Pelodiscus sinensis: one gene and its partners. The protein of the gene in region 2 purifies or fractionates together with the protein of the main gene of each other region. This does not show direct contact. Links are inferred from orthologs where the notes say so. Each region holds a gene or a part of one and is shown on either strand. Other genes may lie near its edges.

What was found.
Region 1: the proteins of TACC3 (region 2) and SLAIN2 purify together in Homo sapiens (co-immunoprecipitation; 3 studies listed by BioGRID and IntAct, counting the BioPlex papers as one, with this or other methods). This does not show direct contact. The link is inferred for Pelodiscus sinensis from reciprocal best matches to the Homo sapiens genes TACC3 and SLAIN2.
Region 3: the proteins of TACC3 (region 2) and ENAH purify together in Homo sapiens (co-immunoprecipitation; 3 studies listed by BioGRID and IntAct, with this or other methods). This does not show direct contact. The link is inferred for Pelodiscus sinensis from reciprocal best matches to the Homo sapiens genes TACC3 and ENAH.
Region 4: the proteins of TACC3 (region 2) and VASP purify together in Homo sapiens (co-immunoprecipitation; 3 studies listed by BioGRID and IntAct, with this or other methods). This does not show direct contact. The link is inferred for Pelodiscus sinensis from reciprocal best matches to the Homo sapiens genes TACC3 and VASP.

What each region holds. Positions count from the first base shown.
Region 1 is NC_134715.1:87,514,857-87,522,528, reverse strand, and holds the start of SLAIN2 (SLAIN motif-containing protein 2), read left to right. Parts: upstream 1-4,655; 5' UTR 4,656-4,889; coding exon 4,890-5,257; intron 5,258-7,672.
Region 2 is NC_134715.1:119,855,940-119,863,386, reverse strand, and holds the start of TACC3 (transforming acidic coiled-coil-containing protein 3), read left to right. Parts: upstream 1-4,429; 5' UTR 4,430-4,496; coding exon 4,497-4,630; intron 4,631-7,447. Other genes in the region: TMEM129 (E3 ubiquitin-protein ligase TM129), read right to left, coding at 2,334-2,538. UniProt on the Homo sapiens protein: Plays a role in the microtubule-dependent coupling of the nucleus and the centrosome. Involved in the processes that regulate centrosome-mediated interkinetic nuclear migration (INM) of neural progenitors.
Region 3 is NC_134713.1:156,792,715-156,799,975, reverse strand, and holds the start of ENAH (protein enabled homolog), read left to right. Parts: upstream 1-4,252; 5' UTR 4,253-4,267; coding exon 4,268-4,311; intron 4,312-7,261. UniProt on the Homo sapiens protein: Ena/VASP proteins are actin-associated proteins involved in a range of processes dependent on cytoskeleton remodeling and cell polarity such as axon guidance and lamellipodial and filopodial dynamics in migrating cells.
Region 4 is NW_027465849.1:6,816,146-6,823,531, reverse strand, and holds the start of VASP (vasodilator-stimulated phosphoprotein), read left to right. Parts: upstream 1-4,375; 5' UTR 4,376-4,495; coding exon 4,496-4,530; exon of another isoform or gene 4,531-4,611; coding exon of another isoform or gene 4,612-4,616; intron 4,617-7,386. UniProt on the Homo sapiens protein: Ena/VASP proteins are actin-associated proteins involved in a range of processes dependent on cytoskeleton remodeling and cell polarity such as axon guidance, lamellipodial and filopodial dynamics, platelet activation and cell migration.

The DNA of each region.
Region 1 (7,672 bases), about 32 Mb from region 2:
CTGTCTAATCTACATGCCTCTGCCGACACAGCCTTGGTGTGTAAGGGGCTCCCCTGAAGGCCACATCTGCAAGATATAATAATCAGAAACATCATTATCAGTACATTCATGGCATCAAATCATCATAATAAAAGACTCCTCTTTCTCACTGTCCTTTGGCAAGCACAGAGATTAGCAAATGCCCTAAACATGCTGAGTTTGGCCAAGGAGGCTGGTCTTTCCTGATGGAACAAGGGTCATGGTGAGTTTTTTAAAGGGAATCACTGCAAGCAACTAGCAACTATATTTTTAAATTTAAATTTTTTAAATTCTGTCACCATTTTCCAGAGATGTGGTCACTTCAACCAATATCTTAATCCTGTAACGACAGAAAGGTTTATTGCCTGCCTGCATGTGACTTCAGAGCGGGTCTCTATATTGCTTGCCTGTGCACCACTTTCGTCCCTGTACAAGGAATTGCTGATTGGTGCTGCAAAGTTTCATACAATGGGGGAAGGAACAAAGAAGTTCTTCTAAGGACCCATCAGCAGAGGATTGGTGAAAACCAGGAAAGTTTACTAGTGATCTCTCTGGAAGATTCCCATGAAATTTCAGTGTTCTTTAATACACTATTATGGCCCACTGTGTAGATGCACCAGGGTATGGGAAGCAGATGCAAACATAGATGATCTTGTACATTTCTATCCCTTAATTCACTTCTAGCATATAACAAAAGACAACTCTATCTTATAGTGGTAGAAATGTAGCCGTGTTAGTCTGGTGCACTGAAACAAAAAACAGGACTGTGTAGCACTTTAAAGACTAACAAGATGGTTTAATAGGTGATGAGCTTTCATGGGCCAGACCCACTTCCTCAGATCAAATAGTGGAAGAAAATTGTCACAACCATATATACCAAAGGATACAATTAAAAAAAATGAACGCATATGAAAAGGACAAATCAAATTTCAGAACAGAAGGGGGATGGGGAGGTGGCGGGAAAGGGGGGAAGAAAATATCTGTGAGCTAATGATATTAGAGGTGATAATTGGGGAAGCTATCTTTGTAATGGGTAAGATAATTAGCGTCGTTATTCAAATTTGCGTGTAAAGTGTCGAATTTAAGCATGAATGATAGTTCAGAGGATTCTCTTTGAAGTGAAGTCTTAAAACAGGGGTGTCCAAACTTTTTTCAAAGAGGGCCAGATTTGATGAAGTGAACATGCGTGAGGACCGACCATTTTGCCTGACATTCTTTGAACCATTAAAATTAAATGCAAATTAACTATTTTATGCAAAGCTTATTGCAAACGGCATACTTTTCATTTCGTCACATGGATGACAAATTTAAACAGGTGTTAAATCACTCTGCCTTTCATATCTGAAGGCCAGATGAAAAAAAAATCCAGGAAGCTGAAATATATGTCAGGAACATTGTAAAGTACATTACATATTATTGGTAATAAAGGTTGTCTGTCAACTTTTAAGTTCAAAAAATATGAACAGGAACATAACACCAAGTATACATGTTGTGTCCAAATATATTTATAACTGATTTAGACCAACTGACATTAACTGAGATTTTACAATGTATTCATCTCAATACATATGGATTCGTTGGGGGCCATAAAAGATAGATATTGCCAAATTACCTGGGGGGCCGTATTAAACCGGAACACGGGCTGCAATTGGCCCGCGGGCCGGACTTTGGACATGCCTGTCTTAAAAGGTCTTTGAAGCAGGATGCAAGTAATCAAGTCGTTGAGACAATGTCCTTTCTGCTTGAAATGGCAAGAAACTGTTTTTTCTTTGTAATCCTGTCTGATATCTGTTTTGTGGGCATTGATCCTTTGGCGAAGTGTCTGAGACGTTTGTCCAATATACATAGCGGACGGACACTTTCGCCACATGATAGCATAAATTATATTTCTGGATGCGCAGGAATATGTGTTCTTGATCTTATAACTCACTTGTGTAATTATAACTATTGTAGAAGCTATTTCATATTTAGCTAGAAGCCATTCTGTATAACAAAAAGCCATTTCAGTTTCTTCTGTCTGCACGAAGGAGTGAACTGGCCTTCACTGAGGTGGGGAGAGACCAGAGGGATGCGCTGTTGGAATGTGTTAATGAACTATTTTGAGCTGAAGCTCGAACTCCCTTTTAACCTGTTTCTTTCTATGCTGATAATAATTCCTCTTTGAAGTTCTCTTTGATTTCTTGCCCTGACATCAGACTTGTTTGATTAAGGGTATAAAATACTAGGATTGATTGTATTAAGCAGCCTTACTAGGCCCGGCTTTGCTAGGACCACGTTTAGCTCACTTTGCTTTTATTAGCCAATAAAACTGTCTGTTTAGCCGCGTAAACTGAGTGAGGCGTTTGCTTCGACACTATCTTATGTAATTGATCAGCTGGAACTCAGAATGTTCACTTACCAGAGGTTCCTTCTTCTGCATCATGAGTGTCACAGATGGAGCATTAGGACCATCTTGAACTCTCCAGCATCAAGAAGAGATCCTGGCTCACTGTGACGGGACTCGGCAGCCCCGCACTGTAGCCTCCACCGCAAGCGCCCTGTTTACGGCGCAGGCGGGCAAGGTACCGGCATTATGCTGGGTGCTCGCTGGCCGCGGAACGCGTTGCAGCTCCAGGCGCTGCACCCAGAATGCGGCCCGGATGCAACAGGGTAGGTGGGGCCACATATGTGACGTCAAGGCAACATCACGCCTGGCACCGGGAGCGGCAGGGGATTTAAACGCCGCCTGGTGCCAGAAGAGGGGGAGGTGTGTGTGAGGGTGCGGGGTGTGCCAGCGGGGCTCCCATGCAGCAACGGGGACCCAAACCCGGGGACACAACAAGGCAGCCAAGGCCGCTGGAGGGCCAGGTAGGCTCCGCATAGGGGCGGCAGGACCCGTGGGGAGTGGAGAGGAAGCAGCCCAGGGCAGGGCAGCACTGAACGCCAGCAGGCTGACGGGTTTCAGCAGGGGCCCCCGTCAGCCGGACTGGACCATAGGAGGTTCACGTCCTTAAGGCCCTGGCCTGGGGCTCGTCAGTGAGGGCGGTCCCGGGCCCCCCTCTTCCTTGGAAGAGGGAGTTCCTGGCGCTTGAGGGGGCCATAGCGCACTCCATCCACACCTCAGCTTCTTGGCAGTGGAGGTAGATTTGCTGTTGAAGATGGTGTTGAGATCCTTATAAAAACTGCAGGTCCTCAGAGCAACACTAGAGTGATAGTTTGATTCCTCTGCTTTCCCAGAACCTGATCTTCACACAGCCCATATCCATCATGCCATAAGAAATCTAACTAAATGTATCAAAAAACTTAAACAGCAAATAGTTTTGCGCACCTTAAAGACTAACAAAACATGTAGGTGGTATCATGAGCTTTTGTGGGCACAATCCACTTCTTCAGATGAATGTATCAAAGTTCCCACAGCTGGAGTGAAGCTGGTACTGCACATCTTCGACTGTCTACAGACCCAGTAGATCAAATCACTCTGGTGTGCTCCAAGGTGGAGAATGTTTGCTGTATGGAACGGCCATGATCATCAGGGAAGATGCAACATTAGCTGTCCACACCATGCAAATATAAAGGGGAATTTCAAAAGTTCCCATTCCTTAAAAAAAAAAAAAAAGAGTAGATGCCTGCATACCTGGATACAGGGCTGCAGAGTTCAAATTTCTGACCAGAGTAATCCGGATGGGCATTGTGGGACACCTCCTGAAAGCCATTTATGGCAACATAACCAGTGTTTACATTGATACTTTGTCAATCTAGCATTGCTGCTAAAAGCTCTAGGGCTCTGGTTGTGGTGATTTTATTTTCTCAGCATAGCAGGAGATTTTTGTCCAAAATGAAATATTAAACTTGGTTTAGGAAGTGGAACCTTGGGCCAGGACCATGCAGCATTTCCCAAAGTATTGTAAGGAAGGCATCATGCCTCAGTGCTTGTCAGCATGATGTTACTGACACCAAACCGTGTGTTTTTTTAGGGAAACAGCGTGTAGGAGCGATTTAAATGGTAGGAGCCACAGCTGCTGTCCTCTCTCCCGGCGGGCCCACAGGAGCAGCCCGTTTGCAGGCCTGGCCCACCCACCACAGGTTACACACTGGCTCGCTGGAAGCGGACCTAATAGAAGATTCGTGTTACTTTTTAAAATGTTTGCTGGACTTTCACACCCTGGCGTGGAGAAGTGAGTTACCGGGCGTACTGCCAAAGTTAACTCCTCCACCTATTTGATTGCTCATTTAGATGCGCCAATCCCCTTTTCTCTCACTAGAGATTTGTTTTCTACAGCGCCCCAGTGGGGGAGGTGAAGCAGAATTATCCCCGATGTGTGCGCCCAGGGCTAGTACAGCCTGAGCCTGGAGCTTGTGGGCGGGGGCACAAGCCCGGAGCCTTTGTTCGTTTTAAAGGGGCCAATGGTGCCCGGCAGAGGCTCGCAGGGGTGGCGGGGCACCGGCCGGGCAGGGGCCCTAACGAGGTGCCGCAGCCCCGACGTTCCTGGGAACAGGCGATTTCACCGCCACCATGGGCCGGGGGCGACGGGCCGCGCGCCGCTGTGAGCTCAGCCCCGGCCATTGTGCCGCTCGCCTCTGCCTCGTGCGCGCGGCCCCGCCGGCAGCGCGAGCTCGCTCCGGGCCCGAGCCCCGCCCCCCTGCACGCGCGCTGTCCCGGCTGCACGCCGGCCGCGTGACGCCCGGGCGGGGCGGGGCCGGGCAAGATGGCGCCGCCGGCCGGATGTGTGTGTCTCCCTCCCCCCGCGGGCCGCCGGCGCAGCTGACGAGGCGGCGGCTCCACGCTCGGCCGGGCCCAGCCCCGGCGCAGTCACCGCGGCGGCGCCTCCTTCTCCAGGCCCGGCCATGTAGAGGGGGCCGGTTGCTGCCGCCCGGAGACGTGACCCGCCGCCATGGAGGACATTAACTCCAACGTGAACGCGGACGCGGAGGTGCGGAAGCTGCAGGAGCTGGTGAAGAAGCTGGAGAAGCAGAACGAGCAGCTCCGCAGCCGCTCCGGGGGCCCCGCCAGCCCCAAGCGCCTCCCCAGCGGCAGCGGCGCCGCCACCCCTTCCTCGCGGGGGGACCTGGGGCTGGAGAGCCGCTGCCTCAGCCCCAAGGCCGGGGCCCGGCGGCCGCCTGCCGAGGAGACGCGAGACAGCAGAAGCGGGACGGCGGCCGCAGCGGCCGGGGAAGGCGGCAGCTTCCTGGACGAGGTGGAGCCTCTGCGGCCCGAGGAGCTCGAGAGCTTGGCCGGCTGCGAGGAGGACGAGACAGGCTGGTGAGGAGGCAGAGGGGGGCTCAGGGCTGTGCCGCCTGGTTGCTCTACGTCCGGGGCCCGGGCTCTCCAGCTCCCGGGCACAAGCAGGGGACTGGGCCTCGCTGTATGGAGCTCAGCCCCCGCCCCCATTCCCTGACCCAGCGCAGCTCGGGGTGCGGGGAGCTAACAGGGGTCATTTGTTTACTAAAACGTGCTGCGAGTGGGCGTCGTTCTGCCCCAGTGGTCTGAAGTCGAGCTCGCTCTCTGAGGCTGGAGGGGGAAAGGTGACTTGCTTAGAGTCCGTGACAGGTAGGAAACCTGGTGCTCTCAGGGTCAGACTTCTAAAAAACTGCCTGGTGAGCTCCAGGTGATTCTCTGTTCTGTGACTGGCAGGGGCTGTACATCTCTAATTAGCCATGGGAAAACCCTGTTTTTTGCAAAACCAGAGTTGGAAAGGAACTGCAATGATCCCTTAAGAGTATGTCTATACAGCAAAGTAAAATTGGCTGGACTGAGTTTCATTTGGGCTTTGGGGATGTTTCACTGCTTGTTAGGCTTTCAGGCTCAAGGCCCAAGCTCTGGGACTCTAACCTCACAAAGTACTAGAATTTAACTCCAGCTTGAGCCCACATGTCTACACACCAGTAGAACTGCTGCAAAGCTGAAACCCTGCAAACTCCCATGTCAGCTGGCATGGTCCAGCCACCAGTGTTTAGTTGATATTTAGATGTACCTGCAATGGGCACCCAAGTGTTATCAGTAGTTATGGCAACATTTCAGGAAAACCATTTATTCACATTTCCTTTATTTCGTGATGTATTGCCTTGCATATCTTATTACATGGCTAAAAAAAACCCCAGGCTACGTCTACATTGGCCCCTTTTCCGAAAGGGGCATGTTAATTTCAGCGATCGTAATAGGGAAATGCGCGGGGGATTTAAATATCCCCAGCGGCATTTAAATAAAAATGTCCGCCGCTTTTTTCCGGCTTTTAGAAAAGCCGGAAAAGAGCGTCTACACTGGCCCCGATCCTCCGGAAAAAGCGCCCTTTTCCGGAGGATCTTATTCCTACTTTGAAGTAGGAATAAGATCCTCCGGAAAAAGCGCCCTTTTCCGGAGGATCTTATTCCTACTTTGAAGTAGGAATAAGATCCTCCGGAAAAGGGCGCTTTTTCCGGAGGATCGGGGCCAGTGTAGACGCTCTTTTCCGGCTTTTCTAAAAGCCGGAAAAAAGCGGCGGACATTTTTATTTAAATGCCGCGGGGGATATTTAAATCCCCCGTGCATTTCCCTATTACGATTGCTGAAATTAACATGCCCCTTCCGGAAAAGGGGCCAATGTAGACGTAGCCCCAGTGTGTGGTCTCTTCTGTACTAATCCCCACCGTCTCAAAGTACTTACTGTGTTGTCTTCTCTGTGGTAGAGCTGGTGGGGGCTACTCTCCTATCAACACTGGTTACATCCTGGTGGCTGGGAGAGGGCATGGAGATGGATTTATCTCAGCTAAGCAGACGTAATAAATTGCCAGCTGAGGGATCGATCGCGGGAAATAGAATTAAGATAAATGTCCATGCAGACTTAACTCTCCTTCCAGAGCTGGCAGTAGCAAACAGGAATTACTTGCATGCTCTCCAGTTGTTTTGTGTTTTAGGTGTAACTACTTTGTGGTGGAGGCAGTATGTGCAACAGGTTGTTAGATGTCTTGATATGAGGAAATCAGGATAGTTTTGAAGTGTCAAAGAGCTGCCATTGTGATATGAAGAGATGTGGGTCTGAGTTACCCCATGAGTGTGATCAAAGGAAAGATGTACATGCATATACTGGTGTTATATGCATATACTGGTGTCTAGTCGGTATCTTTTCAGTACAAAATTGTGTGTACTGTGTCATAGCAGGGCATTGTGGTCTTGTCATAGCAGGGCATTGTGGTCTTGTCATAGCAGGGCATTGTGGTCTTGTCATGGGTACTGACAGCAGTGAGATGGGACACAAGTGATCGGTGAATTTGGATTTAAAAACATAGTTTTAAGTTGTATACTATGTGGCAGAGAGGAGGAGGTATAAAAGAGGTTGTTCTGCATTTTACAAGTGTGGTATTCTGTCAGGTAGGGATGTCAAAGTATAACTGTTTAAAGGGTTGACTGATAAGCCTGAGCTTATGGGTTACTGTTACTGGTTATATGCAGGCTTCTACCCAGTGCTGCTGCCTCTGTATCAGAAACAATAGCATGGGGTGGCAGCCAACTCCTGGCTAGGAATGTGACAGTGTAAACATGTAAATGGTTACATGTGGGGTGGACAGGCAGGAGAAGGTGCTCCCAAAACCTACTTATCTCCTCCCTGAAAGGCACCTCACAGGGAGTGAGGGAGGCAGGAGCCGGAGTGTGTGGGGGAACCAGCTTCCCAGGTGTATCTGCTCCTGTGCAGTTGCATGC
Region 2 (7,447 bases):
TGTTCCATGTCAGCCATAACAATGTTGACATATTGTGGGGCCATGCGGGTGCCCATAGCGGTGCCACTGGTTCGAAGGTATAAATTGTCCCCAAATCTGAAATAGTTGTGGGATACTCCCTACAGAAGCACAGGAACAAATCTACACAGACATACCCATAGAGCCCCAACCAGAATTATTCTATCTATTACCCAAGGGTATTTCTACACTACCACCCTAGTTCGAACTAGGGTGGTTAATGTAGTCATACGGAGTTGCAAATGAAGCCTGGAATTTGAATTTCCCGGGCTTCATTTGCATTAAGCCGGGCGCCGCCATTTTTAAATGTCCGCTAGTGCGAACTCCGTGCCGCGCGGCTACACGCGGCACAGACTAGGTAGTTTGGACTAGGCTTCCTAGTCCGAACTACCGTTACTCCTCGTGTAGCTGCGCGGCACGGAGTCCGCACTAGCAGACATTTAAAAATGGCGGCGCCCGGCTTTATGCAAATGAAGCCCGGGAAATTCAAATCCCGGGCTTCATTTGCAACTCCGTATGACTACATTAACCACCCAAGTTCGAACTAGGGTGGTAGTGTAGACATACCCCAAGATACATAAACCTGGAAATCCTGGATGCCCCATCATCTCAGGCATTGATACTCTTACTGCAGGACTGTCTGTCACCAGCACTCCCAGCTATCTTTGAGACACCACTGACTTCCTAAGAAAATTACAATGCATTGGTGATCTTGCAGAAAACACCATCCTAACCACCATGGATATAGAGGCTCTCTATACCAACATCCCACATGTAGATGGAATACAAGCTGTCAGGAACAATATCCCTGATGATGCCATGGCACAACTGGTAGCTGAGCTCTCTGACTTTATCCTCACCCACAACTAGCAGTAGCAGATTTAAAAGTAACCATCCTGCAACAAAAAAACCCTTCAAAATCAGACTCCAAAGAGAAACTGCAGAGCTACAATTCATTTGCAAATTTGACACTATCAGTTTATAATGAACAAAGACTGTGAATGGCTAGCCAACTACAAAAACAGTTTCTCTCCTTTTGGTGTTCACACCAGCTGCTAGAAGTGGACCACATCCTCCCTGACTGAATTGATCTGTGGTCTGGTAGCACTTTATAGACTAACAAAACATGTAGATGGTATCATGAGCTTTCGTGGGCACAGCCCACTCCTTCAGATATCCGGAGTTATGAGTTGGGGATATAAAATATGGAAATAAATATGATACCTTCTACATGTTTTGTTAATCTGTTAGTCTATAAAGTGCTATCTCAGCTACCCCCTGAAGCTCTTGAACTGACCTGGTTATCTCTGGCCTTCCTTTTGATTGGTACTCCCTTCTTTTCATGTGTCTGTATATTTATACCTGTCTCTGGAATTTCCACTACATGCATCTGATGAAGTGGGTCTTTGCCCACCAAAGCTTATGCTCCAATAAATCTGTTAGTCTATAAGGTGCCACGGGACTTCTCGTTATTTAAGTATAACTTACGTTCACTTACACTGCCTTATTAGAATGGCATAATGACGCAGAGCACCATGATCAGGGTGAATGCAAGACTGTGTTCATTTCTTGTTTACACAGAATTTTACTTCCCTACAACATGCACTCTAGAGGCCACTCTCAATAGCAGCTCGAATAATTCATATCTAACACTCCAAGCAGAACCTTGCTATTTGCACCATTTGCTGGAAAACCCATTACTGACTGTCAAATTCTGCAAATTATGAAGTAAACAGTCAGTTAGAAGGTAAGAAGATGCTGCACTTCACTGTATTTTTCCCATTGATATTTTATTTATACTATACTATAATGTCTGAGTCAATCCTGGAATAGTGATTTTTTTATAAAGCAATGAATTCTTAGTAATAGCAGATCTGATTAAGGCATTGTGATGTTAGATCTCCTCTCCTAGGCAGGGCAAGACCATCATTATTTTAGTATAGATTAATGAAGTTCTTATGCATATGAAGGAACTGTTTTACCTCACAGGTATCTCTGTTGAGTTTGTGGATTTGCTAAAGAGACAGAATCATGCAAAGAGACCAAAGCTATGGACAAGACAAGCTCTCAACCTTCAATATCTGGTTCTTGCCTTCCTTCAGAACATACCCACCCACGCACACAGGTCAAGGGAACATTTTTCAAACTCCGTGAAGACAAGGCTGCATTCACCAAAGGGAGGATGCTCGCCCAATGCTACAGTCCCATGTCTATTCTCCCTCAGCACCTCCAAAGCCTTCCCTCCACACAGCTCTCCTGGTCAGTCTCCCCCCTCCCTACAGCCCCTGGCTACTCTCCCCGCAGCTCCGCCTCACCGAGCGGCAGCAGGCTGTGGGCCAGCATGGTGCCGGTGCTCCTCCGCAGGTGGTAGTGGACAAAGGCCACGTCCTCGCTGCCCAGCCAGCCGGCCAGCAGGTTCTGCACGGTGAGCCCGGCCGAGCGGAACTCGTTGGGGGTGAACACGAAGCAGACGGCGAACACCAAGTAGGCCAGAGTGAAGGTCGCGGCGGGGCTCTCCATAGCTCCCCGCTCCTAGCCCGCTCGGCCCCGCCGCCGCGCTGTTGCCTGGGACAGGAAGTTTGTGCCGCGAACCCGGCTTCCCAGGACCGGAATGCTCTACGTGGCCTCCGCCCAGCGGTCCCACCCGGGTAACCCGGGGGCGGGGAAGCTCCAGCGGGCTGCAAAGCAAGGAGACGCCTGGAGAAGCTGCGCGCTCTAGCTCGCCCCGCCAGCATCAGAGACCCCTCTGGGCAGCAGAGCCAGCGTCCCCGCTCCTTAACCGGAGTCTCGGCTTTCGTGCAACACTACAGTTTCCAGCTGGTGGGGCGATAGCAAGCAACTCTCGAGCGAGAGTTATTCAGAGACCGCCCGCCGGAGGTGCCCTGAGCTGGGCTTGGAGGTCCCCAAACCTCATTACCGCAGGGCCTTGTTTTTTAAGAAGAGCTGTGGCCACTTCACACGAGGGGGCTGTCCTGACCCGGTTGAGAGCGGGTGCAAGCTCCCCTATTACTCCAGGCCACTGTGTCTGGCGGAGTTAGTTTCTGTACTGAGAAGCCAGGATGATGCTCTGGTCACACGCGGGGATGTTAAATCTCGTTTTATTGGTTAAACACAACACCGCTGCTACATTTAACCATGTAAAGAGGGCAAGGGGGGAACGCTCCAGCAGGGATAGAGCGCCCCCACCCCCGCCTGCTGGGGTCAGGACAGAGTGGCCCCTGATACAGGCAGGTGCTGCTCCAGGTCCTAGGCGAGGGCTGCCACCATGGCTCCCAGCCCCTGCCAGGCTGGGACACTGGGAGCGGGGGGAGGGAGGAGGGAAGCTGCTTCTGGGGACCAGTTAACTGGTACCCAATAATAACCCTCTCCCAATGAGAGTGGTGCTTCCTGAGTAACCGTTTAACCGGATATCCCTGTAGCATCCTTAGTCACAAGGGCTATACAAAGCAGTGACTGTAGGGGATCAATCTCGGTTTTGAAACTGATTTCTGCGGTCCTGGTCAAGGTAAGCAAACCTGCATTTTCCAACTTAGGCACCTAACTATAGGCAACCAAATCTGGACATTCTGAACATTCCTTGCTCCTACTGACTTACAGGGGAGCTTGAATGCTCAGCACCTCTGAGAATTAGGCCACTTTTCTTTTTAGTATTTTACAGGCCTAGCTAAAAAATTGAAAGGCTAACCTAAAGTCTAAATCAGCTATTAATGTGCACATAGAGTTTCTTGGAAGCCTGGAACTCCAAGCAGGCGTATAGCTTCCTTTCTAGGACTGGGGCTCAGGAGTGAACAATGCTTTCTCTGGCTCTCTTGGTGCGTTTGTGCTGTCTGTTTAAATTCTGAGCCGCTCCAGTCTCACCCCTCCCTTAGGAAAACTACATTTCCCAGCATGCCTCACCGCAGCACGGCTTAACGCTCGCGATCTTTGGGTGCGGTAGCTCTTATTGGCTGTGAGCCCCTTTCCGAGCCCGCTCGCTGATTGGTCTGTTCATATCGAGGAGCAGCTTCTGGGCCTGTTATTGGAGAGTCGAGCTAACGTTGACATTTGAAATCCTGAGGCGGGGGGCGGCAGCCTGGCTCTGAGAGCGGCTGGGGGTGAATAGCGGAGGAACCCGGGCAGCGGAGCGCACGGGCAGGCCTGAGGCCTGCGACTTGCCGGCAGGTAGGGGAGCGAGGGGCCGGGGCGAGGTTTGTGGGGTCCCCGCTGGGAGGAGGGCGGGGCTGGGCGAGAGCGGATATGGGGGGGCAGTAATGGGGGTCCCGAGGCGCGGTGGGGTTGGCTGCTGGGGTGATCCCGACAAAACTGGGAGAGATGGCGGGGGGGGGGGGGGGGGGGCTTTTGTCCGACTGTCGGGCTCGGCCGGCCTCGTCCTCCTCGCCTGCCGCTCCCTCTAGTCCATTCTCCCCGCTGGTGACCGAGTCCGGGCGACTCCAGGGCCGTGCCTTGTTCCTCAGAAACGCGTCACGGGAGGGAGAACGATGTTGAATCCTCCGAGGATTGGGCCGAGGCGTGACGGGCAGCTCGGGTCGCTGGTGGGGCTGTGCCGCTCCTCAGTCTCGAGTCACTCACATGCAGCTCCTTTGCTGCTGGCCCTTACTAGACGTGACTCTGGGTAGGTGAGAAGGCTGAGTAAATCAGCCTGGCAATCATGGCTTGTAATTGATTAAAAACCAGTTGTTACTGGTTAGTTAATTTTTTTACATTGTATAGTCAGCCCAATGTCTATGCTGTCACTGAATCCTTAAATCTAATTGTTAAATATTGCAGAAAAAGTTTGTTTGTTTTTTTAAATGTGGCATGCTTTCCATGTGTGCTCAAGGAAACTTTAAATATCGATGTTATTTTATGACCGTGCTTCTCAACGTATTTACCTTTGCAGGGTGCATATGCTACCAGTGTGGCCTTGAGGATCTCCTATGGATTGAAGAGTGATAGAGATGTGGCCGTGTTAGTCTGGTCTAACTGAAACAAAAGACAGGACTATGCAGCACTTACAAGATGGTTTATTAGGTGATGAGCTTTCGTGGGCCAGACCCACTTCCTCAGATCAATTTGTGGAAGAAAATTGGCATGACCATGTATACCAAAGTGATACAATTTAAAAAAAATATATAAAATTGACAAATCAGATTTAAGAACAGAGGCGGGGCAGTGGGGGGAAGGTTAGTGTCTGTGAGGTAATGACATTGGGGTGATAATTGGGGAAGCTACCTTTGTAATGGGTAAGATAATTAGCATCTTTAAGACCCATAGATAAAGTGTCAAATTTAAGCACGAATGACAGTTCTGAGGCTTTTCTTTGAAGTCTGGAGTTAAAATCTCTTTGAGGCAATATGAATGTTTTAAGGTCATTGAGAGAATGGTCAGTCTGGTTAAAGTGGCAAGCAACAGTTTTCTGTCTGTGAGGGAGCCTGATGTCTGTTTTATGAGCATTGATTCTTTGGCAAAGTGTCTGAGAAATTTGTCCAGTATACATAGCAGACGGACCCTTTAGGCATATGATGGCATAAATTATGTTTCTGGATGAGCAGGAATATGTGTTCTTGATCTTGTAACTGGCATGGTTAGGACTGATTGATCAGTTTTATGTGTGTTCATTTTTTTCATTGTATCACTTTGGTACATATGGTCATGCCAATTTTCTTCCACAAATTGATCTGAGGAAGTGGGTCTGGCCCACGAAAGCTCATCACCTAATAAACCATCTTGTTAGTCTTTAAAGTGCTGCATAGTCCTGTCTTTTGTTTCAGCTATGGATTGAAGTGTGTGTTGATTGGGCTGCAAGTGAGGCCACATCTGGAATATTGTGTCCAGTTCTGGGGCCCCTACTACAAAAGGATATGGATGTATTGGAGAGGGTTCAGCGGAGGGCAACCAAAATGATTAGGGGGCTGGAGCATATGACTTATGAGGAGAGGCTGAGGGACTTGGGGCTGTTTAATCTGCAGAAGCAAAGAGTGAGGGGGGATTTGATAGCAGCCTTCAGCTTCCTGAAGGGAGGTTCCAAAGAGGATGGAGAGAGGCTGTTCTCAGTACTGACAGATGGTAAAACAAGGAGCAATGGTCTCAAGTTGTGGTGGGAGAGGTCCAGGTTGGATATTAGGAAAAACTATTTCACTAGGAGGGTGGTGAAGCACTGGAATGGGTTACCTAGGGAAGTAGTGGAGTCTCCATCCCTAGAGGTGTTTAAGTCTCGGCTTGACAAAGCCCTGGCCAGGTTGATTTAGTGGAATTGGTCCTGCCTAGAGCAGGGGGGCTGGACTTGTTGACCTTCTTAGGTCTCTTCCAGTTCTATGATTCTAAGTGGTTTGCGGGTTAAGACCCACTGTTTTATGAACTATATAGAGAACATGCATATGCTAATATAAAACACGAACATGCATACCATTGACGCTAGGGATGTAAAATCCCATTTAACAAGTTGACCAGTTAAAGTTTCTATTTCACCGGTTAATCAATTAAATGAGAAGTGTAGGTGTTGCTCCTAGCATGCTGCAGACAGGCTCATCAGTTAACCTTCACGGTTACACACAAGCACCCCACCTGCATTGCTGCCTCTGTATCAGAGGCAACAGCAAGGGGAGCAGGTGGAAGCCAGTGCTTGCTGGGAGCTGGCTTTTAAGCGGTTTCCTGAGGAGCTTCTGCCCCCTTCCCTGAGCATGTGAACATATAACTGCTGACAATTTGAGCAGTTAGACATTTACCAAAAAAACCTCCTGCATTTTAACATCTCTAATCATAACCAGTAAGCGTCACCTGCCAATGGTGAGGCTTACTGGTTATGATTAGGGATGTTAAAATGCAGTAGGATTTTTTGCTAAAAATTTGAGCAGTTAGACACTTACAAACAACCTTTCACATCCCTAATTGAAGCTGCCTGTTTTCATGTTCTGCTGAGTAACTGAAGGTATTACCCATTATATCCCTATTATGGACAACCAGTTACCTGGTAAGTATCACTCTTACTGAGGGATGTTTACTCCGCACCAGTTAACTGGTATCTGGGAATGGCCTGCAGAGGGCTGCTGTAGTCCCAAGGGGGCTGAGAGCAGCAGCACCAAGCATGAAGCTGTCTCCCCCTCTTTCCCCCTCCCCCATACTTGAGGCTGCTGGCAGCCCCAAGTGTAGTGGGGGAGGAGAGAGGGTGCGGGAGCAGAAGCAGACTTCTTCCCCCCCCCCCCCCCCCCCCCACATGCTTAGTTCTAGTTAACATCCCTAGTTCATAATAGGGATGTGTTAGTATACATGTTTAAATAGTTAATCAATGAGCCTGAGCTCATTGTGCTCTAAAATTATCTATCCTTTGTCTTTGATTTAAAACTCTCTGGAAAAGGAAGTATGAGAAATTGTGCTCGCATTGCATGGGAATATTATATTCCGTATAAAAATCTGGTTTTCATCTACTCCACATGTGGCCCATGGGCTGCCT
Region 3 (7,261 bases), on a different chromosome or scaffold from region 2:
TAACCACAGGAATCATAGAATACTAGAACTTGAAGGGACCTGGAGAGGTCATCAAGTCCAGGCTCCTGCCCTCACTGCAGGACCAAGCACCGTCTAGATTATCTCTAATAGATGTCCGTCCCAACCTTCTCTTAAATATGGAGATTCTACAACCTCCTGAGGCAATTTATTCCATTGCTTAACCAACCTGACAGTTAGGAACAACTTCCTAATGTCCAACTTAAACCTCCCTTGCTGCAATTTAAGACCATTGCTTCTTGTCCTATCATCAGAGGTCAATGAGAACATATTTTTTTCCTCCTTGTAACACCCTTTTAGGTACTTGAAAACTTCTATCGTGTCCCCTCTGTTTTCTATTTTCCAAACTAAACAAACCTAATTCTTTCAGTCTTCCCTCATACATCATATTTTCCAGACCTTTAACATTTTTATTGCTCTTTTCTGGATCCGCTCCAATTTTTCCACATCTTTCTTCAAATGTGGTGCCCAGAACTTGACACAATACTCCAAATGAGGCCTAACCAGTGCAGAGTACAGTGGAATAATTATGTCTCAGGTCTTTCTCACAACAACCCGGTTAATGCATCTCAGAATCAGGTTTGCTTTTTTGCAACAGTGTCATGCTGTTGACTTATAATTAGCTTGTGGTCCATTATGACTGGTGAGCCCTTTCTCCAGTACTCCTCCTTAGACAGTCACTTCCCAGTCTGTATGTGTGAAACTGATTGTGCCTTCCTAAGTGGAGTAGTTTTCATTTGTCCTTATTAAACTTCATCCTATTTACCTCTGACCATTTCTCTGGTTTGTTCAGATCATTTTGAATCATGACCCTATCCTGCAAAGCACTTGCAACCTCTCCCAGCTTGGTATCATCTGCAATCAGTGCATGGAATACAAACATGTAGAAAAACCACTGCACTGCTCATCAATAATGAATGCAGTGCTGTGTACAGGAGACTGTAACATTCAACAGTTTATGCAATGCCGTTGTGCAGAGATATCACCTGGGGTTTGAACAATAAGTAGACAGGCTAAATAATCCCCTACAATATCTGAACTTATGTTTGGTAGAGAAACCACTGGAGGGTCCATTACTGTATGCATTGCTTCTATGCACAGGAACCCCAGCCCTGCACAAGTGTGCAGAGGGGCCACCACTCCCCGCCAGGGGTCGCCAAAGCCTAGTAACCCCGGTTCATTTCTCCCACAATTGCTGCTCATTCCCTGCTCCTCCCCACTTCAGAATCCACACGGAATGCAGACCAGTAGTGGGCGTGGCCCCGCCGCTCCGCCCACCGCGTCCCCTGCGTGCGGCCGTGCCCCCCACCCTCTCAAGCAAACCGGTGTCTCGAGACGCCCGCGCTCTGGTGCAGGCGCTCCCGCCCCTTCCCCCCTACTCCGGGAGTTGGTTTGTTCCTCTTCGTTCCCCTCACCCCCCGCTGTGGTCGGGTCTGGCCCGACCCGGCGGCTGAACGGAGAACTCGCTCGCACTCAGGGACTTCGCTGCCCATTGAAGGACCGGCTCGAGAGGAAGGGGGAGAGCGGCTCCCCGACGCGGGCAGCACCATGAGGTGAGGGGCCTCCGCACCGCGGTGTTCGCATGGGGGGCGCTGTGGGGGTCTCCGGTGGGAGGAGGGCCCGGCGGGGGGGCCTAGGCGGAGGTAGCCGGGGAAAGCGCGCGGGTCTGTGGGGAAGGGGGGGGCGTTGTTCGAGGGGCGGGTTCTCTGCCGCCTGCGCCGTTGGCTTGTTGCTCTGTGGAAGCGCCCTGGGGGCCGTTGTGCGGGCGCCGGGCGGGGAGGGCTGGCTCCGGCTCCGCGGGGATAATGGCCAGCCCGCCCGGCGCCTTGGGGAGCCAGCGGGCCGGGCGCGGCTGCCCGTACATGGCGTGAGAGCCCCTGTGATTTGGGCGGCGCGTGGGGCCAGCTTGTGAGCTCCTGGCGCGTCTTTTTTTTTGCGGGGCTGGAGGCTGCTCGCGATCCCGTGTCCAAGGCGGGGAGGGAGAAGCGCTGCCCTTCTATCGGTGTGTGTTGCATTGCAGCAGCAGCTGGGTTTTTCCCTGTGTAATCAATAGAGGCAACCCTCCATCCCCCCGCCCCTCCCGGCAGCGGGGAACACATTGTTCTTGGGGCGTGTTAGTCCCGATGCAAACCTCGAGCCGCACGTTGCTAATTCCTTTCGGGGGGGGAGTCTTTGTCCATTTGTCTGAGACTGAGCCTTTATGTGATCGTATTTGCTTGGCGACTATTTTTCCACCCGCTCCAGCCGTTTCGTGCCTGTTCAGTATCCATAAGCTCTCTCTGAATTGGTGCAAGACTTCGTGAGAAATGTGACTTTGTAGACTGAATGGTGATGTATTTGGAGACGCATTACTATGATCCACATAGGCCTGCCCATTAGGTTAAACAGTTGTCTGTGTGTGTGTCGGGGGGTGGGGGACTGTAAATTACCTAAGATATTGTCTGTCTTTGTAGTTAGACTTGAATCTTCTTTGTGTTAAAGATTAATGGCCAGCAGTTGCCACGTCCTTTAGAACGCACCAGTAAGCTTTACGTGATATAATCTACACATTCCTTTGCTGTGACAGTGTCAAGTCTAGGAATTCTTCACAAATGTGAGACGTTTCTATTTTAAAGTTTTTATTTAGTTTTTTTAGGGTTTTTTCCCCCAAGGGCAAATGTTAACCATGGAGCCTTGGCATATGAAGAACTGGGTTCTCTTCTCTCTCTCCCCTCCTCCCCATGCATTCTGTTCCTGGGATGGCTTTATTTTATTTTGTTTGTAGTTACTTATGCATTAAATTTGCTTTTTAAAGCTATTTTGTAATATTAAATAACTTTTCTCTTATTCATACAGTGTTCTTTCACAGGGCTAGCTTCTCAACACTTTAAAACACTCAATTAATTCATAGTAATTGCATATTTTGTATATAGCACTTTCTACTGTTTTGATAATTTAAAAAGTTTAATTTTTATATCTTATTTGCATATTTTAGAGGTGAATTTGTAGTTTTGAGGCAATCATTTTACTTAAGCTATGTCTCTGGTTCAAAAAAAGTTTGTTGGTACAGTTGTATCAACTAGCCCTCCTAATGTAGGTGCAGTTTATACTAGCAAACATACCTCTTTTGCCATTATAGCATGTACTGATTCAATGCATGAAATAAGCTATTCTGGCAAAAGAGACTTTTGTGTTCTAGCAAAAACACTTTTATGCATGTATAAATGTATGCACATTAAGAGTTTTTGCTGGTTTAAGTTTTGCCAGAGTTCCAGCATTACCAACAAAAGTTTAATGTAGACCTCCCCTTAATCTGTCTAATATTAAATGTTTGTATAGTATAGTGAACTTTAAACTGTATACTTGTACGCACGGGGCCTAAGCATAAGCAAAACATCTCATAAATCTATGTCTCTTCAAATTCTAAGTAGCAACTGTTTTTAAAAGGAAATTGTCTGGAGTTAAATGTTCATTATGAATGCTTGCTGATTTAAGGAAACCTCAAGAATTCTTCAGGAATTGCATAAATCTAAGCCTTGCCCAACCATGCAAATTGTATAGTTGTAACTAAATTGGTTTATTAACAAGCTAAATCAGCAAGTTCCCCTTGTGTTGGACAGTGTTAAATAGAATCAATTTCTCAATCTCTTTAGTTAACTAAGTACAATATGTGTAGCCAAAGCTTCAGTGAACATATTCTCTTAGGGCTTGTGTAAGTCAGCATAAAAGGTTGTATTTTTAAAATATGTTCTTTGAAAGGCATTAGTTAATTGGTCTTTACACAGTCTTACAGACAAGCAAGTTTGTATCTTTTCTGGTCAAGGTAAACCCTTTGAATGGGGGGCCAGGAAGAATCAATGCTTGCAATGTGACAAATGTGCTATTTGTCAAATAGCTAACAAGTTTTGGAAGTTTGCCTGTGTTAAAAATTTTTTTGCTAACACCTTTTAAAATATCTTCTCTAGTCTAGACAGATATTTAGTTATTAATTATCATAAATTAGGTGTAGTTCTGAGAGAGGTTCTTCCACTTACAGCTTAATTTATAATAAACAGAGATAATGTATACAATTGACACACTGCCTACTTGTTTTTCCCTTTGATATTTTCATACCCTCTGCCCCTTGTTTTCCACCCCCTTCCTTTTTTTTCCTTCCCCTTCTCCCCTATTTTTTTGGGGTCTGCACATCCTAAACTCAAAACTCCCGTCATCTGAAGAAGTGGGCTATACCACGAAAGCTCATAATACTATCTACATGTTTTGTTAGTCTATGAAGTGCTACCAGACCATTTGTTGTTTGATTAAAAAAAATAGGTGAGTATAATCTTTTCAGTGTACTCTTGTACAGAAAATTGCTCTGAACTATAACTTCATTTTACATGCTTGCGCTCTCAGGCGTGGGATAAGGGAGTATACAGCCAAGTGGTCAGAAAATTCTTTCCCTGCCATCCGAATTCTGAAGTAATGCTGGTCTGACTGATGAATGGCTGCTCCAATATTTGGAGTAGCTAGGTGGTTGAAAGTTAACAAATAGTTTCCCAGTTTTTACTTTATCAAATACAGCTTGCTGTCACCTGAATTCTAAAATCTGTGCAATGTAATAGGGCGCACATGACGATATGTATTTAAATATCAACAGTTGTTTGTAGATGCTTGAAAATTATAGAAGAGATATTTAGATCTTAGCTATTGAACACAGGATTTAAATTCTAAATCTTGAATTACACAGGAGTATAGACAAGTTTCTGTATAAAGTTTTGTTTCAGAAGTCCAACTCTTCAGTAAACTATTTTTTAAGGGTGAATAGGTAAACAGTTGATTTTTGCATGTCTGCTCTTTTTGCATTGTAACTGACAGAGTACGTGGTGTTCTGAATCGAGTGTTACGTGAATGGACTAATCTCATAATAGGTGTCCAGAAATAGTTAGATGTGACTAGGGATTCCATTGGCAATTGGAATACTAAAAACAGTGGCTGTTAATATCTGTATCTTAGGGGTTGATAAGTCTGAGCGGCCGTGTTAGTCTTAAGCTTTAAAATGAGTAATCCTGTGACACCTTTCTTAGAGATTAACAAAAAAATATAGAATCATGCATAAAACCTACTTCACGAGATGAGTTTTCCATTCCAACTCATTCGATAAAGTGCATTTTACCCACGAAAGTCATGATTCTATATATTTTTGTTAGTCTCCAAGGTGCCACAGGACTACTCATTTTTAGGGGTTAATGACTGACATCTTTGTACAATTAATCCAGAAAATATTCAAAATTTCAGTGTTTAATGATATTTTCTTTGTTTACAAATGTCTGGGTCTGATATCCCTCTTTATAGGTTATTCAGTTTTAATAGCATTTGAATTTCTAAATAGGAAAAGTAGCTGATCTGATTTTTTTTTCTAATGTCTATTTCTTAGTAAGTGATATGGTTTCCTCGTTCCCAATTTAATCTTTATTTTGATTTTAGATTTCTTTAAAACTACCTTCTGAAAATTTCTACTTTGAGTAAATATATATGATTTCTTTCTAACTAAGTAGTCATCAAAAATCAGTGAATCAGACTTTGGGTCTGGGCAGATAAGTTTTTCTTGGCATTTTAAAGGCTGGATTAAGATTCACTACTTTATTAATGAAATGGTAAGAGAACCTAGTTCCAAGCCTGTGGTAGCAAAGCTAGCTAGCTTAATTGGGATAAAGAATTCTTGGGGAATCTCAGTTGTCCTACAGTTCCTTAATGTTCAGTTATGCCTAGAAGTGACACTACTCACGACAGTAATAAAGTTAGGGTAATCTAAATTGTTTATTATTGTCAAGCTGAAGGAGCCAGTTATTCAGGAATGAGAGAATAATAAGGGTTTTGCAGCGTGCTTTGCTGTATGGGGTAGAATTTCAGAATTGGGCTTTTGTTGTAGTTTTTACTACCTGCATGACACATGACATATTTGGAATGGAAAATGAGATATGGTTTTGAAATATTTGACAAAATATTTAAAGTGAAGAGCAGTCAGTTAAATCTAGCGATATTGCTGTACATGTTCCTGATCACTAAATTGCTCATTTCTCTAGAGTAAAATTGGAAGTGTAGGCAGATTTTTCAGGTGGGCACAAGAATTCAGTTCAGGTTACTCTCCTTGCTCTAAGTAGACTGAGGCTGTGTCTTCACAACGAGCTTGGGGTGTGATTGCCAGCTTGTGTACACACATCATGAAAGCCAGTACAAGTGTAAATAACAGTGTTGCTGCAGTAGCAGAAGTATCATACCGAGTATAAACCCGCTTGAACCCTGTGGGTACATGCTTGGTGTGGCTTACACTACTATTTATATTTGTGCTAGTTCTCATCAAGCTAGCACAGGTATATGTGCGTGAGAGATGGGGAATTGCATCTCTAGCTTATAGCATAGATGTAGTTTAACAGTCATTTGTCTGATGCTATTGCAGACTTTGTTAGCTAGTGCTTCATTTGTGACAGTTGCAATAGTTCTTGCACTTTTTTTCTTTGTCTTATATGGAATCTGACAACTACTTTCCTCAAAGTCTCTGGATAGTCTATGAATTATTTTGATAGTAGGTTTATAAGACTTTATTTCACAAGAATAAGTAAATGAAATGCACATCACCTAGAATTCCTATTCTTCATAGATGGTTGCTTGTAACATACTAAGATGGCCATATTGCAGAGCTCTAAAAATTACAAATGACTTGGGGGTGGTGGGGTCCAGGAAGGTGATTTATAATTCAGCATTAGCCTGGAAGCATGCATACATGCAAGCTGCTTCCTCCTGATTCTGATGAAAGACTGTATTTTTAAGCAAGTCAAATTTAGCTGATACTGCTCTTCTCTCTTCCACTTTGAACTGTAGGGCATGAAGAACTGTATAGTCCTTTTTTAACCTCCCTCAGAATAGGAAGAAGCTATTCATTCAGCATACACACTCACTGGTCACCTACATGACACACGGAGATTTGGTCTACACTACAAAGTTAGGTCAACATAAGTTAATTTGTGTTGACCCTGTTGGTGCATAGTCAGATTTGTCTTTAGCTAACATAAGTACCCTGTTAAGGTGATGCAGTAAAACCATCTTTTTGAATGGCCTTGAGCCATAGTTGACCTACTGAAGTCAGGTCAAACAGTATCTACACTTGTACTGCACTATGTCAACCCTGGTGATTCTCCAACTGTCCCAAAATACCTGGCAGTTTCCGCTGGTTACAATTGTGAATTCCACTGTCCAGGGGTCTTAAAGTGGAAGCCACTCCCTC
Region 4 (7,386 bases), on a different chromosome or scaffold from region 2:
GCAGAGCTGGGGGGGGGGGGGGGGTGAGTCCAGACCTGAGCTGGCAGGGGGCTGTGGGGCTAGGGGGCCCCCTCAACCTCGGTGCCACATTAATTCCAGCTCCCCATGTTTCCTTGGTCCCTCGTGCGGTGGCTGCTGCCTTCCCAGGCACGTGGGGCTGGACCAGCCTGGCCTACGGCTCTCAAAGTGGGAGGGGCCTGAGCCTCTAGGTGTGTGGGGGGAACAGGGACCCGTCCACTGCAATGGGGGGGTGCAGCCCCCAGGGCAGCCTGGCACAGGTGTGTGGGCAGAACCTGGTCCTCACCCCGTCCCAGCCACTGGCCCTGTAGCCTCCTGGGGGTGCTAAGTGGGAACGGTGTGTGGGGAACAGCTGCCCCGGCTCTGCCTGTCCCCGCCCCCCAGCTGGCTAAGGGTCCCCTCGCTCACTGCTCTGGGGACAGGTGCTGCACATGCTGCCGCTCACCCTGCAGGGGGCGCCCCCGCTCGGGGTGGGGTGGGGGGAGAGCCTGCTGGCCCCATGCCAGGGGAGCTAATCCCTGCCCGACCCCCGTTCGCCTCCTTGTCCCTTGGCTCCGTGCTGGGGCTGGTTCTGAGAGCGCCCCCTGCTGCTGGGGCTGGGAGGGGAGTAAGGACAGAGCTACCCCAGGGGGCAGAGGTCGATGGTCCCAGCATGCGGGGCTGGGGCAGCCCCAGAGTGTGCAGGAGCCCAGGCTGGCTCTAGCCCCACTCACCCTCACTGTGGCCCCTCCCATGGTCTGTAGAGGCTCCTCCCATCCTCACTGTGGCTCCTCCTATGGGCTGTAGAGGCTCCTCCCACCCTCACTGTGGCTCCTCCCATGGGCTGTAGAGGCTCCTCCCATCCTCACTGTGGCCCCTCCCATGGGCTGTAGAGGCTCCTCCCACCCTCAATGTGGCTCCTCCCATGGTCTGTAGAGGCTCCTCCCATCTTCACTGTGGCTCCTCCTATGGGCTGTAGAGGCTCCTCCCATCCTCACTGTGGCTCCTCCTATGGTCTGTAGAGGCTCCTCCCATCCTCACTGTGGCTCCTCCCATGGGCTGTAGAGGCTCCTCCCACCCTCACTGTGGCTCCTCCCACGGGCTGTAGAGGCTCCTCCCACCCTCACTGTGGCCCCGCCCATGGGCTGGCGGGATCGTACCCCCCCCACCACAGCGCCCCCTGGACTTCCTGTGCTGAGGTCCCACATCCTCCTGGCCCTGAGCCTGTGCCCCCAGCCCTGCCTGCCAGCCTTCCCCAGCTGGGACCCTTGCTCCCCCTGCCCCAGCCAGACCCCTGCCCAGGCGCTACCCAACCTTGGCCCGAGCCCCCGTGGGACACCAGCCTCCAGCAAGAGCAGCAGGCCCCAGCCACCCTCCGTCCTGCCACGTGCCTGGTTCTGGTTGGATGCCACGCCTGCCACGTGCCTGGCACTGGGCTCTGATTGGACACCACGCCTGCCACGGCCACTGACCCCACTGGAGCGGAGGCACCCCCATGAGAAGAGCAGGCAGGTATGGCGGGCACAGCCACTGGTCCCCGTTGAACGGCTCTTGGCTGGGGGGTGGCGCAGCCTCGCCCAAACGTGTCCCCGGCCACGCCGGGCACCGGCGGTGGGTCACAGTGCCATGCTGAGCGCCCACTCTGCCCTCGGGGAAGGTGACAGGGCAGGAGCCGCCTGCCTACAGACAGCTTGGGGGGACTGCCGGGGGGGGGGGCCAGAGAGCAGAGAAAGTGTGTGTGTGTGTGTGTGTGTGTGTGTGTGTGTGTGTGTGTGCGCATGTGTGCACATCCCCCCTGCTGTGTGTGTGTGTGCGCAGACATCTGCTGTGTGCATGTACATCCCCCCACTGTGTGTGTGCAAATTTCCTCTGTGTGTGTGTGTGTGGACATCCCTCTGCTGTGTGTGTGCACATCCCCCCGCTCTGTCTTTGTGTGTGTGCGTGCGCACACATCCTGCTGTGTGTGTGCGCACATGCACATCCCCCTGCTGTATGTGTGTGTGTGTGTGTGCACATCTCCTGCTGTGCATGTGTGCACATCCCCCCCTGCTGTGTGTGCGCGCGTGGACATTTCCTGTTCTGTGTGTGCGTGCACATCCCCCGCTCTGTGTGCACATTTCCTGCTGTGTGTGTGTGTACGTGCACATCCCCCGCTCTGTGTGTGTGTGCCCGCACATGCCCAGCTGTGTGTGCGCGCACGCATGCCCCCGCTGTATGTGTGTGTGTGCACATCCCCCCACTGTGTGTGTGCACACATCCCCCTGCTCTGTGTGTGTGTGCACATCTGCTGTGCGTGTGTGTGCACATCCCCCCGCTCTGTCTGTGTGTGGGTGCACGCACATGTCCTGTTGTGTGTGTGCGCGCGCATCCCCCTGCTGTATGTGTGTGTGCACATCCCCCCGCTGTATGTGTGTGTGCACATCCCCCTGCTCTGTGTGTGTGTGCACATCTGCTGTGCGTGTGTGTGCACATCCCCCGCTCTGTGTGTGTGTGTATGCACATCTCCCCGCTGGGTGCATGTGCCCATCTGCTGTGCATGTGCGCGCGCACCCAGCTCTGCTGAGATGGACGCAATGGTGGAGGGGCTGGCGTGGCACCCAGAGCTGGGTGGGCGGATGCAGGCCAGGTACAATCAGAACTGGGGGGGCGCAGGCTGGACACAGTTGGCCATAGGGGAACACAGGCTTGGCAGTGCCAGGTGGGGCGTGGGGCAGGTACAATCCGAGGTGGTACCAGAGGGCTGGCTGAGCACAGCTGGAGCTGAGAGGTGCAAGCCAGGCACAAATAAAGTGGCTTGGGGGTGGAGCACTGTGGGGTGCAGGCAGGAGCCCTGGGGTTGTGGGGCTGGGGCCCCCACGTGGCCAGGGACTCACTGTGACATCACAGCCCTGCCAGGGGAGGTCATGGCCACGCCCCCAGCGAGCTGTGACATCACAGACAAGCCAGGCCCTGGCCGGGCTTGGAGGAGAGATAGATGCTGGGTAGGGGGTGTGGTTGCAGGACTATATGCTCGTGTTTGGGGAGGGGGATAAGGCCGTGGGATGTATCCCTTGACCTCACACAAGAATGGATGAAGTCAACAGGCAGTAGGTTTACATGGGAGCACTTCCCCCTGCAGTTAACCTGTGGAACTCCTCGCCAGGGGAGGCCAGGAAGCCCAGAAGCGTAACTGGGTTCATCAAAGGAGGGGCGGATGGGCCCCAAGAGTCACCTATGCTCTGGGTGACTCTGGCCTCCGCCTCCCCCTGCCACTGGGCCAGGGAATGGATGGCTGGATAATTGCTCTGTCCTAGCGAACCGGCGCCAGGTGTGGTCAGAGCTAGGCCGCTGGGCTGGGGGACTACTGGCCTGACCCAGAGTGGCCAGGCTTGAGTTCAAAGTAGGCAGAGAATCCAGCTCACACGCTCTCAGCAGGGCGGAGAACCCAGCCCCTCCCTGCCCCCCAGCGGGGCAGAGAACCCCCCCCCCAGCGCTGTCAGCAGGGCAGAGAACCCAGCCCCTCCCCGCCCCCTAGCGGGGCAGAGAACCCCCCCCCCCCAGCGCTGTCAGCGGGGCAGAGAACCCAGCCCCTCCCCGCCCCCTAGCGGGGCAGAGAACCCCCCCCCCCCACAGCGCTGTCAGCGGGGCAGAGAACCCAGCCCCTCCCCGCCCCCTAGTGGGGCAGAGAACCCCCCCCCCACAGCGCTGTCAGCGGGGCAGAGAACCCAGCCCCTCCCCGCCCCCCAGCGGGGCAGAGAACCCCCCCCCCCAGCGCTGTCAGCGGGGCAGAGAACCCAGCCCCTCCCCGCCCCCTAGCGGGGCAGAGAACCCCCCCCCCCCAGCGCTGTCAGCGGGGCAGAGAACCCAGCCCCTCCCCGCCCCCCAGCGGGGCAGAGAACCCCCCCCCCACAGCGCTGTCAGCGGGGCAGAGAACCCTCCCCCCCCACAGCGCTGTCAGCGGGGCAGAGAACCCAGCCCCTCCCCGCCCCCTAGCGGGGCAGAGAACCCCCCCCCACAGCGCTGTCAGCAGGGCAGAGAACCCAGCCCCTCCCCGCCCCCTAGCGGGGCAGAGAACCCCCCCCACAGCGCTGTCAGCGGGGCAGAGAACCCCCCCCCCCCCAGCGCTGTCAGCGGGGCAGAGAACCCAGCCCCTCCCCGCCCCCTAGCAGGGCAGAGAACCCCCACCCCCCCAGCGCTGTCAGCGGGGCAGAGAACCCAGCCCGCCCCCTAGCAGGGCAGAGAACCACCCCCCCCAGCGCTCTCAACGGGGCGGAGAACCCAGCCCCTCCCCGCCCCCCCCCCCAGCGCTCTCAACGGGGCGGAGAACCCAGCCCCTCCCCCAGCGCTGTCCCCGGGGCGGAGACCCCAGGCGACCTGCCCCCTTGCTCACCCCTCCGCCCTTCCCCTCGGAGGAGGGCGGCGGCTGGGGGCGGGCCGAGCGGTGCATTGTGGAGCCGCGCCGGAGCGCAGCAGGGGTGGGAGCCCGCAGTAGCCGGAGCCGGGGACCGGGACCGGGACCATGCGCCCACAGAGCCGGGGCAGCCAGGGGCCCAGGTAGGCGGGAGCCGCAGGCAGCCCATGGGCCCGGGCCCCCGCCTCCGCTGCGGCCGGGAGTGAGCGCCCGGAGCCGGCACCATGGGGTGAGGAACCGGCCGCGCGTCCTGCGCCCCGGGCGCTTTGTCCGCGGGGAGCCCGGGGGGCGGCGGCCTGGGGGCACTAGGGACCGGCGCCCCCCGAATCGCGAGGAGGGGTATCCCTGGGAGTCACTCTGGTGCCTCCCCCCGGCCCGTCTCCCGCCCCGGGGGGCGCCTTGAGCCCCCACCGTGGCCCCCGGCGCCCATCCCCGTGGCCCTCCGCCCAGAGCTTGGCCCGGTAAGGAACCCAGCGTCCGGGCTGGGGGGCGGGGGTTGTGCTTGTCTCGGGCGGGCGGAGCACTGGCGGCCCCAGGATCGCTTGGGCTGGTTCCGCCTCCCCGAGAGCCGCTCTTGGTCTCGGAGGGGAGGGGTCCGAGCTGGATCCTATGGGGCAGGGGGCTAGTCTGGGGGGCTGGTGTCCGAGTTGGATCCTATGGGGCAGGGGGCTAGTCTGGGGGGCTGGTGTCCGAGTTGGATCCTATGGGGCAGGGGGCTGGTGTCCGAGTTGGATCCAATGGGGCAGGGGGCTGGTGTCCGAGTTGGATCCAATGGGGCAGGGGGCTGGTCTCGGGGGTGGTGTCCGAGCTGGATCCTATGGGGCTGGTCTGGGGGGGGGGGGGTGTCCGAGCTGGATCGTGTGGGGTAGGGGGCTGGTCTGGGGGGGGTGTCCGAGCTGGATCGTGTAGGGCAGGGGGCTGCTCTTGGGGGGGGGGTGTCCGAGCTGGATCCTGTGGGGCAGGGGGCTGCTCTTGGGGGGGGGGGGTGTCCGAGCTGGATCCTGTGGGGCAGGGGGCTGCTCTTGGGGGGGGGGGTGTCCGAGCTGGATCCTGTGGGGCAGGGGGCTGCTCTTGGGGGGGGGGGTGTCCGAGCTGGATCCTGTGGGGCAGGGGGCTGCTCTTGGGGGGGGGGGGGGTGTCCGAGCTGGATCCTATGGGGCAGGGGGCTGCTCTTGGGGGGGGGGTGTCCGAGCTGGATCCTGTGGGGCAGGGGGCTGCTCTTGGGGGGGGGGGTGTCCGAGCTGGATCCTGTGGGGCAGGGGGCTGCTCTTGGGGGGGGGGGGGTGTCCGAGCTGGATCCTATGGGGCAGGGGGCTAGCTTGTCTGTGATGTCACAACCCACTGTGGGGGTCAGCCTTGACCTCCCCTGGCAGAACTCGGCCAGAACTCAGGCATCCTGGCTCCAGTTTCTCCCCCGGACCCGGATCCCTGCCCAAACCCGGAGTCAAGTGATGCTGGTTCCGGGTGCTGCCCCCCATGGACCCCGGGCTGGCTGCAGGGCGAGGTGTGTGCATCAGGCCCCCCTGCCTCCCTTAGGGTGGCCCTATGCCTGCCTGTGGGAGCAGCCCCCCACCCCCCATTGCTCACAGCTGCGCCTGGGGGTGGGTCCCAGGAAAGTTCCCCCATTCTGTGGGCTGGGTGCTGCATAACCCCCAGCTGTCTGTGTCTCTGGGGGGGGGGGGGGTCCGGTGGGGTCTGGCCTGCCTGGGCTGGGCTCAGCTGTTGGCACTAAACATTCCAGAGCTGCTGGAGTGGCTGGGGGGGGGGGGGGGGTTGGGCTCTGTCTTTGGTGCTGTTCCTTGGAGGGTGTGAATCTGTGGGGCAGACGTGTGGGGCGGGCTTGTGGGTGCTGGAGCCACAGCGTCTGCGGGTTGCTAAAGAGCAGGAAGTGGCCACAGGCAGGCTCCGGCTTCCCCTTCCCGTTCTGTAGGGGGGGAGGTGTTGTTCGGAGGGGGGGGCTCTTGGCAGGCCCCTGGGCTACAGCAGAAGCGGGGTGAGCCCTGCCTCTCCCCCCACCTCATACCCTGGGGTCCTGCTGAAGGGCCTGACCCCTCCACCCCCATTGCATTCTGGGATCCCCCCACCCCAGGGTGCTGGGACCAGAGCCTGCTGGAAGTGGGGGGAGGGTGGAGACACCCAGCCCCCCCACACACACCTGGGGCTTGGGCGCTGGGGGTTGGCTGCAGTCAGGTGCACGAACCCCTTAGGTGCTGTCTGGCCTGGGCCAGGAGGGTCTCCTGGGGTACCCCAAGGGGGAATGAAGGTGTGTGGGGGGGGTCATGAACACACCCAGCCCTGCTGGGGGTTGTCCCCAGGGTGCCCAGAAAGCGGGGGAGCCAGGGGAGGGGCGGTAGGCTGTGGAACCCCCCCCCTCATACCCGCAGGACAGGGCTTGGCAGGAAGTGACTCAGGGTCCCACCCAGGGAAGGGGGGGGGGGAACAGACGCATGGGGGAGGGGGAAGCCCTGGACTCGGGATGGTACAAGATCAAGGCCCCCTGGATTCCCCCTCCCTAGCTGCAGAGACTCCCGTCTGCCCCCCCCCCCCAGCCCCCACCAGGACTGGGGTAGCAGGTGCTGCGGGGTGAAGTTGAGGGGAGCCGGGGTGGGAGGGGCCAGCCCCGGAGCAGGGCAGGTTGTCCTGGCCTGACTCCTGCAACTGGCCCTGCTCCTCCCCAGAGGCAGCTGCCTCTCCCTCCATGGGGGGAGGGGTGTCCAGGCCCAGCTTTGGTGCCTCGGCCCAGCCCCCCTCCACACCCATGTCTCCCCAGGTGGAGGAGGGTGGGTCGGGGCTCAGCCCTTCCCCGGGTGTGTTTTGGGGGTGGCTGGGTTCCTGATCCCCCAAACAGGGAGAGGGGAGCAGCTCTGGATTGTGTCCTGTTTAACCCCCCTCCTCCCCTGGAGACAAACAGGCTCTGTCCTTCAAACCTGCCCTTATATGGTTACAGGCAGCTGCTTCCCCCCCCCCTTCCTGCTCCAGAGTCCGCCCCCCCAGGTGCT